Arabidopsis thaliana: one gene and its partner. The protein of the gene in region 1 purifies or fractionates together with the protein of each later gene. This does not show direct contact. Each region holds a gene or a part of one and is shown in the gene's direction. Other genes may lie near its edges.

Region 1 (7,567 bases):
ATTATTATATTAAACACAATTCATTTTAGTTAGATCTATTCGGGGCCTCTCGTGTTTAGATTTAGAAGAGTTCTCGGCATGAATCATGAACATTTTCCAATGCTCTTAAATTTATAGTTTACCAATATTATACTCCGGTTTTACATATCACACATAATTTCGATTTTTTTCAACATATGTGATCATAATCAATTGTTAAGTTTTAATTTATGCGCATAAAAAAATATATGTTTGTATAGTAGTTAAGGAGAATTTTTTTTTGTTATGTTTTAGCACTTTTTGGATTAATACTAGTTTTAAAAGTATGATTTTTTTTTTATTTTTTTTTGTGCACAAATATGATCAAACCCAAAAGTTTCTTTACATAGTAGCAACTTTATATTCTCAGCAGCCATGGCTAAAAAACGTAAGTTAATGACAAAAATGCGTTGAGTGCAATGAACCTGGCAGTATTCGATGAACCTTAGCGGATCAAATGATATAAATATGCAATAGAATTTAAATATTTATTTATTGTCCAAGCTGCGTGGATAGCTTGATAGATAAATTAATGACAGCACATTGACTACCCAAGCTGCGTTGATAAGTACTTGATCAAAATCTTTACATTTTTATGAAGTACTATAATCCAAAGTTAACTTTTAAGCAAAAGATAATTTTTTGTAATGGTTGTGAAAAATTCACTTATAATAACACGAAACATAATGAAGTATTATTAGTTCATTTATATATAATACACAAAAAACATAAAGGCAATAAAAATAACCAAATTAAAAAAAAATGGAGAAGTAGAAAAGAAAACGAAAAAAAAAAAAAAAGAGAGAGATAAGATGCATGCATGGTATAGAAGTCGCAGGCCGAAGACCAGAAATACGAATGTGTTTGAATAGACAAATTAAGGAATATAAAGACAGAAGAGCCCATCCATTTTCGCATACACGAATACATCCCCCTCGACTCCAATTATTTTATTATAGTCCATTCTCTCACTTTCTATTCTAAATATTGTGGACGTTATAAAGGCTTTTTATTTATTTTATGTCGAGTTTTTTAGACTACGTAGAGCCGAATGAAAATTTCATGTTTAGGTATACGAAACTTGGATCCAATGTTACGGATTCAGATTGGTGTAAAAGATCAAATTTGATAGTATTTGGATTTGATAGGCAAGATGGTTTAGTATTTTACACTGTGTATGTTCCTCTTTTAGCTTTGCGTTTTCTACTTTCACTACGATACTACTTTTTATCTTCCAATTTCAGTTGCTTATCACCAAAATATGAAATACCAAATTAATTGTTTAAACAGTTTTATTAGCGATTAAATTAGCACAAAACATATGAATAGATATCATAGTCGAATACAAAAATTAGACAAATAATAATACACTAAAAAACAAACTAAATTGGAGAATTGTTTTGACAAAAAATAAAAAAAATGTCAAAGTTCCATAAAAAGGAGGACAAAAGAGGAATATAACGAAATTATCAACAGAAACGCACCGAGTAAGTTTATTTCCTATGATAACGCAAAAACAAAAAAAAAATCCAATTCCATTAGAGAGAGAGAGAGAGAGAGAGAGAGAGAGAGACTTTTTTAAAAAGTACAAAAAAAAAATGAAAAACTAGAGAGAGAAACAAGTGGCTAGCTAGCTCGCCAAACTTCTTCAACAATGGCGGTTTCCTAGGGTTTGATGTTTATATGATCGGGAAACTCTCTCATCTAGATCGCGATAACTCTCTTTTCCATGGAAATGCCCGGTAGAAGATCTAATTACACTTTGCTTAGTCAATTTTCTGACGATCAGGTGTCAGTTTCCGTCACCGGAGCTCCTCCGCCTCACTATGATTCCTTGTCGAGCGAAAACAGGAGCAACCATAACAGCGGGAACACCGGGAAAGCTAAGGCGGAGAGAGGCGGATTTGATTGGGATCCTAGCGGTGGTGGTGGTGGTGATCATAGGTTGAATAATCAACCGAATCGGGTTGGGAATAATATGTATGCTTCGTCTCTAGGGTTGCAAAGGCAATCCAGTGGGAGTAGTTTCGGTGAGAGCTCTTTGTCTGGGGATTATTACATGCCTACGCTTTCTGCGGCGGCTAACGAGATCGAATCTGTTGGATTTCCTCAAGATGATGGGTTTAGGCTTGGATTTGGTGGTGGTGGAGGAGATTTGAGGATACAGATGGCGGCGGACTCCGCTGGAGGGTCTTCATCTGGGAAGAGCTGGGCGCAGCAGACGGAGGAGAGTTATCAGCTGCAGCTTGCATTGGCGTTAAGGCTTTCGTCGGAGGCTACTTGTGCCGACGATCCGAACTTTCTGGATCCTGTACCGGACGAGTCTGCTTTACGGACTTCGCCAAGTTCAGCCGAAACCGTTTCACATCGTTTCTGGGTATTTGTTCCTGTTAAGCTTTGTTTCCCAAAATTATTGAATCGTGGTTATAGAGATATGGTCCTCTTGTTTCCGAAGTTTCAGTTAGATCTCCTTACCAAAAGTCTATTAGTAGCAAATGAGATATGTTGTTTAGATACATTGCAGAGTATGATTGTTTTGTGTGCTGCATCAGGTTAATGGCTGCTTATCGTACTATGATAAAGTTCCTGATGGGTTTTATATGATGAATGGTCTGGATCCCTATATTTGGACCTTATGCATCGACCTGCATGAAAGTGGTCGCATCCCTTCAATTGAATCATTAAGAGCTGTTGATTCTGGTGTTGATTCTTCGCTTGAAGCGATCATAGTTGATAGGCGTAGTGATCCAGCCTTCAAGGAACTTCACAATAGAGTCCACGACATATCTTGTAGCTGCATTACCACAAAAGAGGTTGTTGATCAGCTGGCAAAGCTTATCTGCAATCGTATGGGGTTTGTACTCATACAATCCTTACTATCCCTTTGAACTTATATTTTTATATCTTCCTGTGATTTCTCACATTGTACTCGTTAATTCTTGCTTCCCCAGGGGTCCAGTTATCATGGGGGAAGATGAGTTGGTTCCCATGTGGAAGGAGTGCATTGATGGTCTAAAAGAAATCTTTAAAGTGGTGGTTCCCATAGGTAGCCTCTCTGTTGGACTCTGCAGACATCGAGCTTTACTCTTCAAAGTGAGATCCCAACTTTGATGCTATCCCCATGACATTTAAGACATCTTGTGAAATGATCATATAAATTATTGTGCTTCATCCATTTGTTTTTATTGGAATACATATGAAGAACGTTGAATGTGAAAAGTGGTGTTATTGATTAGAAAAAAATAGGTTACTGATAGTTGAATGTTCCAAAGAAAAAAAGTATTTTATATCTTCTATTTGGTGCATGCAGGTACTGGCTGACATAATTGATTTACCCTGTCGAATTGCCAAAGGATGTAAATATTGTAATAGAGACGATGCCGCTTCGTGCCTTGTCAGGTTTGGGCTTGATAGGTATGATACAAGTGATTGCGAAAGAGCCTTTATTTTCCTATTTTCTTTGCTTTTTGTTTCTGGAAAAACAATTATAGCTCCAAATGTTTCGCAGAATATTAGGTTGATGACGTGGAAAATTTGTTTTGGTTTCAGGGAGTACCTGGTTGATTTAGTAGGAAAGCCAGGTCACTTATGGGAGCCTGATTCCTTGCTAAATGGTCCTTCATCTATCTCAATTTCTTCTCCTCTGCGGTTTCCACGACCAAAGCCAGTTGAACCCGCAGTCGATTTTAGGTTACTAGCCAAACAATATTTCTCCGATAGCCAGTCTCTTAATCTTGTTTTCGATCCTGCATCAGGTATTCCCATACAAAAAACCTGAATAATATGTTAACTTTTTGCATGCTGCTTACATCTCGTTTTGTATTTCCCCTAAAAGAGTAATCTCCTATCATTTAGGGTATTTCTTGATCATGTCTCAGTATCTGAAGTGTTAGTAGTCTTAGAATGATTCTATTGTTTGTTTTCTTGTCTCTTTTCACTTTAGTTGTTTTTGGCTGTTGATGTGTATGTTTGTTGGTGGGTTCTTTGCCTAATGATATTTAAGGTTAAACTTGTTAGTCTGCTGTTCAAGCTTATGAATTCTAGTGCATTTATGTGCAAGACTTGTCTTCTGGACTCTAATTTCTTATATCTGCTTGTTTGAATGGTTGTAGATGATATGGGATTCTCAATGTTTCATAGGCAATATGATAATCCGGGTGGAGAGAATGACGCATTGGCAGAAAATGGTGGTGGGTCTTTGCCACCCAGTGCTAATATGCCTCCACAGAACATGATGCGTGCGTCAAATCAAATTGAAGCAGCACCTATGAATGCCCCACCAATCAGTCAGCCAGTTCCAAACAGGGCAAATAGGGAACTTGGACTTGATGGTGATGATATGGACATCCCGTGGTGTGATCTTAATATAAAAGAAAAGATTGGAGCAGGTAATAATTTTACGGAAAAATTAATGATTCGGTCTAAAAATGCAAAGAAATATGAAATTCTTGAGGAAGTGGTTTTGCTTTGGACTCTGTTCTCGAACAAAATAAGGAAAAAGTGCCACCCATTTTGAGATTACATTCTTCTCTGTTGCCTTTAATTCTTCCACTCTAATTTGAGCGACTGCTCTTTCAGGTTCCTTTGGCACTGTCCACCGTGCTGAGTGGCATGGCTCGGTAAGAACTTTTTTGTCAGAATTTACGCAGCTGAATTTTTTTTCGCTCTAAAAATTTGGTTGTGACTTTTGGATCTGCTTGGTATTATAAAAGGCAAAGTTATTGTATATGTGACTCTCCGTTCTGTCAGAAATTAAACACGGACAAAAGGTGTCCCATTTTAGATGTATATGTGTCTTTATATCATAAATTTGTCTTCCTGTTTGAATTTTACAATTCTATCACTAGAAGAATTCTAATTTTGATTATTGCAGTAATATTCTCTATCAATTTCAGGATGTTGCTGTGAAAATTCTCATGGAGCAAGACTTCCATGCTGAGCGTGTTAATGAGTTCTTAAGAGAGGTGCACAAATAAAATTTTCTCTTGATTTTGGTAATGAACTTGTTGTATTAATGTCTCCAATGATCTTGATTCGCTGTCAGGTTGCGATAATGAAACGCCTTCGCCACCCTAACATTGTTCTCTTCATGGGTGCGGTCACTCAACCTCCAAATTTGTCAATAGTGACAGAATATTTGTCAAGGTACAATTACTTGGATTTGGAAGGTTTGATGTACTGAGTGTAGAATTTTGGCCTATAATGACTCTAATACCATGATTTCTTTCAAACAGAGGTAGTTTATACAGACTTTTGCATAAAAGTGGAGCAAGGGAGCAATTAGATGAGAGACGTCGCCTGAGTATGGCTTATGATGTGGTATGTTTAATTCCTTATGTTACATGTATGGGTGATTACTTCCTGATCTTGGTGTTTCTTCACATGGAACTTTCTTTCCAATTCTCTGTCACAGGCTAAGGGAATGAATTATCTTCACAATCGCAATCCTCCAATTGTGCATAGAGATCTAAAATCTCCAAACTTATTGGTTGACAAAAAATATACAGTCAAGGTTTGAATCTAAATTAGAAATTGTTGTGTCCAATGTTTTGATTTTGATATTTTATTCCTCTTGTGAGACAAGCTTATATATAAATTATGATTTTTAATTCTAAATTGGTTTGGAGACATTACAAAAAGGCGTTAATCTGCTGAAACTTAAAAGATACAGCAGCCTCAAGCTGTCGTCTTAAAAACAATCAGAACATTATTATTCTAACTCCTCAATTTGTCTTGAAATTTCAGGTTTGTGATTTTGGTCTCTCGCGATTGAAGGCCAGCACGTTTCTTTCCTCGAAGTCAGCAGCTGGAACCGTAAGTTCAGTTTGTTTGAAACTAAAACACGCTGAACAACGTAACTTTCTTCTAGGTCCTATTTCCAATGGAAGCTAAATAATTACTGACTTTGATATATCAGCCCGAGTGGATGGCACCAGAAGTCCTGCGAGATGAGCCGTCTAATGAAAAGTCAGATGTGTACAGCTTCGGGGTCATCTTGTGGGAGCTTGCTACATTGCAACAACCATGGGGTAACTTAAATCCGGCTCAGGTACTTTCCACTCTAAACATCTCAAATAATAATGATATTATTTTGCATTTGGAAGTCCCTCACTCTACATTTCATAACATGCTATATATGATCATACAAAAAAATGTTCCATAGGTTGTAGCTGCGGTTGGTTTCAAGTGTAAACGGCTGGAGATCCCGCGTAATCTGAATCCTCAGGTTGCAGCCATAATCGAGGGTTGTTGGACCAAGTACGTTAAGATTTTCTATCTCTTTTTTGAATTCTTCTTGAATAGACTTCATGTTTATGTATGTGTTTCATTACCAGTGAGCCATGGAAGCGTCCATCATTTGCAACTATAATGGACTTGCTAAGACCATTGATCAAATCAGCGGTTCCTCCGCCCAACCGCTCGGATTTGTAAAATACCCCCGGTCCATTCAAAAGTTGTTATAATCATGATATGCACATATACTCTCAGCATTCTTTTGCTGCCCAGGAGGGAGACACTAGTTAAGATATAGCTTTAAAGGTACATTCCTCATGAGCTATCAATCATATCCTACAGAATCCCATGGTTTTTATACATGTATTATTTTTGCGATCTTTGTCTGCTGTTTTGTTCCCTTTTTAATGTTGCAGATTGTTAAAATGTACATGACTATTGTCACAGGGAGGAAAAAAAAATGTAGTAATGGAAACAATGTGAGGGATATAATCTATCTATCTAGTCCCAAAGGGTAAGCAATATTTTGTTGTTATGTCTTTGTAGCAATGCACTGAAAGCTATATTTAATTACATTGCTGTACATTTATACCGCTAAATTAGTTACTAAGCGAAGGTAAAAAAGAGCAGCTGGTAAATGCTGTCAAAGGGTTTTGCAAACTCAATATGATTCATTGGATTTACATTTGTTCACTGTGCGATTAGTCTGGACTATAAACCAACAGAAATGAAATAAGACTGTAACTTTCGGAGACTCTAATACAGATGAATATAATCCCAAATCGTTAAAAACGCATTGGGACTGAAAATATCTAGATACATAGTCAACTATTTTTGCCTTCGCGTCTAAGTAAGTTCCCACACTTGAAAACGACTTTACCTGTCTTCCGAATTAATCGTTTGATGGATCGGTAACCAATAGGATTGCGTAAATCAAAATTATACAATATTAAATTCTGAAAAAGGAAACACGAAAAGCGAATCAGTGATTTGTGAGGGCCCAGTTCCAAATTAGAAAGCTGACCTGGCAAACGCGCTAAATCACTCCTCCTTTCAAAAATCTCAAGATGACGTGGGACCCACCATCGTCACCACTTTCTCTCCTTCACCAAATCACAGAGAGAGAGAGCTAAGTGAAGCTGCAAGGAAACAACTTTCAATTTCAATGTCGGTTGTACAATTATTTGTCACTAAAGTTTCCAAATTTCTTCTAAACTGATGAATCAATGGAACATGATGACGAAAAAGATAAATCCACGGTGGCGGGAACTGACCCACCCATTTCCACCGCCTCTCTATTCCCCAGATTTTTTTC
Region 2 (5,548 bases), on another chromosome or scaffold:
AAGCAAAGAGATTCTTAATTCAGATACTTTCTTTGAAGTTTGCATATCATTGTTAAACTTGCCTCAAATTTCAAAAAATTTATTCAGGGTCAATACGAGATTCTCTCACTATCTGGATCCTATATCCGAACTGAACAAGGTGGTAAATCCGGCGGCCTTAGCGTTTCTTTATCTGCTTCAGATGGTCAGATCATCGGTGGAGCGATTGGTAGCCATCTCACAGCTGCTGGCCCGGTTCAGGTACAATTCTGTTGTATCATAGTTTCAACTTGCATATATTGAAACATTGTTATTGTTTCCAACCATCTTACACAAAACTGATCATTTCCTAAGATAGGAGGTCTGGCTTTGATTGATCGCCTTAGATTTGTGCAAATGCAGGTGATTCTTGGTACGTTTCAGCTTGATAGAAAGAAGGATGCCGCCGGGAGTGGTGGGAAAGGGGATGCTTCAAACAGTGGAAGTCGGTTAACTTCTCCTGTAAGCTCTGGACAGTTGCTTGGCATGGGTTTCCCTCCTGGTATGGAATCTACGGGAAGAAATCCAATGAGGGGAAACGACGAGCAACATGATCATCATCATCATCAAGCCGGTTTGGGTGGACCTCATCATTTCATGATGCAAGCGCCGCAGGGGATACACATGACACATTCCAGGCCATCTGAATGGCGCGGAGGAGGCAACAGCGGTCATGATGGCAGAGGCGGTGGCGGGTATGATTTGTCAGGTAACAAAAAAGCTCAAAACTTCTCGAAAGATGTCATCTTTCTTCATCAAAGTTCAAACCCTTAAATCCAAACAAGGACAGATTAGAATTGCTATGGAGATTGGTGGAAATTAGTATTTTGTAGAGTTCTAGAAGATTACAGGCTAAAGCTCTTCTCCGTTGTGGCAATGGCTTGAAACGCTGATGGATGTAATCTTGTGCAGGAAGGATAGGACATGAGTCGTCGGAGAATGGAGATTACGAGCAGCAAATACCGGATTAGCAGAGCTTCCAGGAGAAGTGTGTAGAGTTTAGATCCCAAGTAGAGAAACAGAAGGCGAGCAAAGAATCTGAACTGAGAGAGGACTTATTAGACAGAGACTCGTCTGAAGGGTCTTTAATCATAGAAAGAAGTTGCTGAGTGATTGCTTTTGTTCTTCTTCTTGGTACGGTGTATTATATTAACTCCACAACCTTTTTTTTATACTTTCAGTAACGATTCTCCTTCACTTTCAATTTCATTCCTTTTTTTTATACTCTTTTTCTTTTCTTATAATATTTTTTTTGGTTTTTCTTTCGTTTGTTACTAAAAAAGGAAATGCTCTTTTTGTGAAATATATACACTTCGTTTGTTCGGTTTCTACTTATGTTAATTATTCATAACCTATCTTAATTTAGTAAACGGTTCCTATGAGCCGTTACTTGGACCAAAACATTAACTCATTTGACGAAGAACAAAAAAACTCATTTGAGAATTCTGTTTATTTATTCATATTAATATTGATTTAGTTTAAAATTCTTGGTAACTTTATGTCAAGTTGTCAACTTGTAAATTTCTTGATTGATAATGTTGGAATGCTATAACTTATGTGAAGCCAAAAATTACTGTTAAAAATTCTTATCTTTAATGGGAATTTTTTGTTGACATCTAAGCTTAAAGTGAAACACCACCATTTTTATGGACTTGAGCAACTCTCCGGAAATTGCTTAAGCGAAAAGTCTGCTGCTTTTGTCTTAAAAAAACTTTGAATATTGTTGACTCAAGTCTGAAAATCCGCAACTGAAACTCCCGGAAAAGATCTGCCACCACCGGACCAACTCGGTTTCTTCTCTTTTCTAATCACTTCTTCTGTTTCTCCAACTTCTGTGAAAAAGATGTCAGATTGACTCGATTTCGTTGCTACAAATGGAGATGGGTCTTTCTTATTTATCTTACTAGATTCGAGAGGTGTGTTCTTTCTCTATTCTATTGGCTTGAATCTTAGCTTTCGTTTTTCTCTGATTACCTTCCCCTGGAATTTAAAAAAAAAAAACTCAAAGGCGGTTTCTTTTCTCAGTACTACGAATATCGAGGAACATAGATCTTGATTCCTTTGCCTTCTTCTGGGTATGCGTGTTTGGAGTTGTTTAATCTCATTGGTCTCTACGCGTTGTGGAAATCTATGAATACCAAGTCAGTTATGTTTAATTGGTTCATTGGATCTCAACTTGTAGAGAGCCTCAAGATTGTGGCTGGATTTGATTAGGGTTTTAGATAGAGAGATTAAAGATTGGATCAGAAGATGTTAAGATCTTTAGGTCTTGGATTGCTTCTGTTTGCTCTTCTTGCTCTGGTTTCTGGTGATAACGATTACGTGAGCTGTAATTGTGACGACGAAGGTTTCTTAAGTGTCCACACCATCTTAGAATGTCAAAGAGTGAGTGATCTCTTAATAGCCATTGCCTATTTCTCAATACCTCTCGAGCTTCTCTACTTCATTAGCTTCTCCAATGTTCCTTTCAAATGGGTTCTTGTTCAATTCATTGCCTTTATTGTCCTATGTGGAATGACTCATTTGCTTAACGCTTGGACGTATTACGGACCACACTCTTTCCAGCTTATGCTTTGGCTTACCATCTTTAAATTCCTCACGGCGCTTGTCTCGTGTGCCACGGCTATCACGCTCTTGACTTTGATTCCGTTGCTGTTGAAATGGAAAGTTAGAGAGCTTTACTTGAAGCAGAATGTGTTGGAGCTTAATGAAGAGGTTGGATTGATGAAGAGGCAGAAGGAAATGAGTGTGCAGGTGAGAATGCTTACTCGGGAGATCAGGAAATCGCTCGATAAGCATATGATTCTGCGGACTACTCTCGTTGAGCTATCCAAGATTCTTGATTTACAGAACTCTGCTGTTTGGATGCCTAACGAGAACAGAACCGAGATGCATTTGACTCATGAGCTTAGAGCGAATCCGATGAGGAGTTTCAGGGTAATCCCGATTAATGATCCCGATGTTGTTCAGGTTAGGGAGACCAAAGTAGTGACAATTTTGAGGAAAAACTCTGTTCTTGCGGTTGAGAGCAGTGGTTGTGGCGGTTCGGAAGAGTTTGGACCGGTTGCTGCAATTCGGATGCCGATGCTTCACGGATTGAATTTCAAAGGAGGCACTCCCGAGTTTGTGGATACTCCTTATGCTATAATGGTTTTGGTACTTCCGAGTGCGAATTCACGGGTTTGGACCGATAAAGAGATCGAGATAGCGGAAGTTGTTGCTGATCAAGTAGCGGTTGCTATCTCTCATGCCTCAGTTCTTGAAGAATCACAGTTAATGAGAGAAAAACTCGGTATTCAAAACCGAGCTTTACTTCGAGCAAAACAGAACGCGATGATGGCAAGTCAAGCGAGGAACACTTGCCAGAAAGTGATGAGTCATGGAATGAGGAGACCAATGCACACAATTCTTGGTCTACTCTCCATGTTTCAGTCCGAAAGTATGAGTCTTGACCAGAAAATCATCGTTGATGCGCTCATGAAAACAAGCACAGTTCTCTCAGCTTTAATCAACGACGTGATTGACATTTCGCCTAAAGATAACGGGAAATCTGCATTAGAGGTTAAACGGTTCCAGCTACATTCCTTGATAAGAGAAGCCGCTTGTGTTGCTAAATGCTTAAGCGTTTACAAAGGTTACGGTTTTGAGATGGATGTTCAAACGCGGTTGCCTAATTTAGTAGTAGGAGATGAAAAGAGAACGTTTCAGCTTGTGATGTATATGCTTGGGTATATCTTGGATATGACTGATGGAGGCAAAACCGTTACGTTCCGAGTTATCTGTGAAGGTACTGGAACAAGTCAGGACAAGAGCAAAAGAGAAACTGGAATGTGGAAGTCCCATATGTCCGATGATTCCCTCGGTGTGAAATTTGAAGTTGAGATTAATGAGATTCAGAATCCTCCATTGGATGGTTCGGCTATGGCTATGAGACATATTCCGAACAGAAGATATCATAGCAATGGGATTAAGGAAGGCTTGAGCTTAGGCATGTGTAGAAAACTTGCACAGGTTAGTGATCTCATCATGTCTCTGTTTCTGTTTGGTATATAGAGATTCTAATTATAAACAGTGTATTTGATTTGAAATTTGTTTTGCAGATGATGCAAGGAAACATATGGATATCACCTAAATCGCATGGACAAACACAGAGTATGCAATTAGTTCTGAGGTTTCAGACAAGACCATCGATTAGGAGATCAATCTTAGCAGGAAATGCTCCAGAGCTTCAACATCCGAATTCAAATTCCATTCTTCGTGGTCTAAGAATCACTCTAGCAGACGATGATGATGTCAACAGAACCGTGACTAAGAGACTTCTTGAGAAACTCGGCTGCGAAGTAACTGCTGTCTCGTCTGGATTTGAGTGTTTGAATGCGTTGTCAAATGTGGAAATGTCGTATAGAGTTGTGATTTTGGATCTGCAGATGCCGGAGATGGATGGTTTCGAAGTAGCAATGAAGATAAGGAAGTTTTGTGGACATCATTGGCCATTGATTATAGCTTTGACTGCTAGTACTGAAGATCATGTTAGGGAAAGATGTTTGCAAATGGGGATGAATGGTATGATCCAGAAACCGGTTCTTTTGCATGTTATGGCTTCTGAGCTTAGACGGGCTTTGCAGACCGCGAGCGAGTGATTCGAGCTCAGAGAAGGAAGCAGATATCAATGAATCTTGAAAAGCAAAAATCTTGAAACGAAGAAAAGCAGAGTGAGGATTCTTTGAAGATGTGAAGCATAGAGACACCTCTCTGGGGAAATGTTTTTGTTGTTGTTGTTGTCTCGGTTCTACAGTGATGAGAATTGAGTCAGTTTTCTCTATTTAGCCTAGTTTGGAGATTGGTTGGTTCGAAACTATTTATACGTAATGATTTCGCATTTTTAGCGAAAAAATAACATAAGTTTATTAGATTTAATAATAATTAATTTTATAATTTTGTCTTGAGTAAATTCTCTCTGAATATTTATACAATTCTTTTTTTGCATCTCATTATTAAATTCATCATATTTTGTCAAAATTCATCGCTTGTATTCTCTAATCTATTGCTCTAACTTTTTATTCTTTGTTTACTATTTTTTGACATTTTTTATTTAGTTTTACTATTCAGACTGAATGTTTCAAGCATTGTATATTTTGGACATTTCTTTGTCAACCAAAAAGAAATAATATTGTATCAAATCAAATGAAATTTATTAATTATTTATTTTTTGTCAATGTAATTTAGTTAGTATTTTATCAAATGTATTTTTTGTTTGTTTTTTGATATAAACAAAAAGTCTATTTAAAAATACTTTTTTTGACGGCAAAAACTTTATTTGACAGCAAAAACGTTTTTTTCTTAAAGACTAAAGTTTAGACCAGACCACCACACCAAACGTTTGATTGCTAAATGTTAGTATCTATACGAACACCAAAGTTAATGTTATTTAATGCTTTGTGTAGTCTTAAGAACGAACATCACGTAACGCTATAAATTATGTTCGACATATCGATGTTCGAATTTTTTAAAATGTACTTATTTGGATTGG

What was found.
Region 2: the proteins of CTR1 (region 1) and EIN4 purify together in Arabidopsis thaliana (affinity purification with western blotting, with the first as the bait; one study listed by BioGRID). This does not show direct contact.

The regions. Positions count from the first base shown.
Region 1 is NC_003076.8:973,841-981,407, reverse strand, and holds CTR1 (Protein kinase superfamily protein), read left to right. Parts: upstream 1-1,558; 5' UTR 1,559-1,747; coding exon 1,748-2,395; intron 2,396-2,570; coding exon 2,571-2,872; intron 2,873-2,969; coding exon 2,970-3,111; intron 3,112-3,328; coding exon 3,329-3,432; intron 3,433-3,567; coding exon 3,568-3,773; intron 3,774-4,130; coding exon 4,131-4,406; intron 4,407-4,596; coding exon 4,597-4,637; intron 4,638-4,913; coding exon 4,914-4,982; intron 4,983-5,062; coding exon 5,063-5,163; intron 5,164-5,252; coding exon 5,253-5,337; intron 5,338-5,431; coding exon 5,432-5,530; intron 5,531-5,763; coding exon 5,764-5,832; intron 5,833-5,935; coding exon 5,936-6,067; intron 6,068-6,181; coding exon 6,182-6,276; intron 6,277-6,353; coding exon 6,354-6,450; 3' UTR 6,451-6,558; exon of another isoform or gene 6,559-6,699; 3' UTR 6,700-7,048; downstream 7,049-7,567. UniProt on the Arabidopsis thaliana protein: Acts as a negative regulator in the ethylene response pathway. Phosphorylates the cytosolic C-terminal domain of EIN2, preventing the signaling in the absence of ethylene.
Region 2 is NC_003074.8:1,234,686-1,240,233, reverse strand, and holds EIN4 (Signal transduction histidine kinase, hybrid-type, ethylene sensor), read left to right. Parts: upstream 1-1,617; 5' UTR 1,618-2,268; coding exon 2,269-4,029; intron 4,030-4,118; coding exon 4,119-4,658; 3' UTR 4,659-5,025; downstream 5,026-5,548. Other genes in the region: AT3G04590 (AT hook motif DNA-binding family protein), read left to right, coding at 88-240, 382-727, 931-989.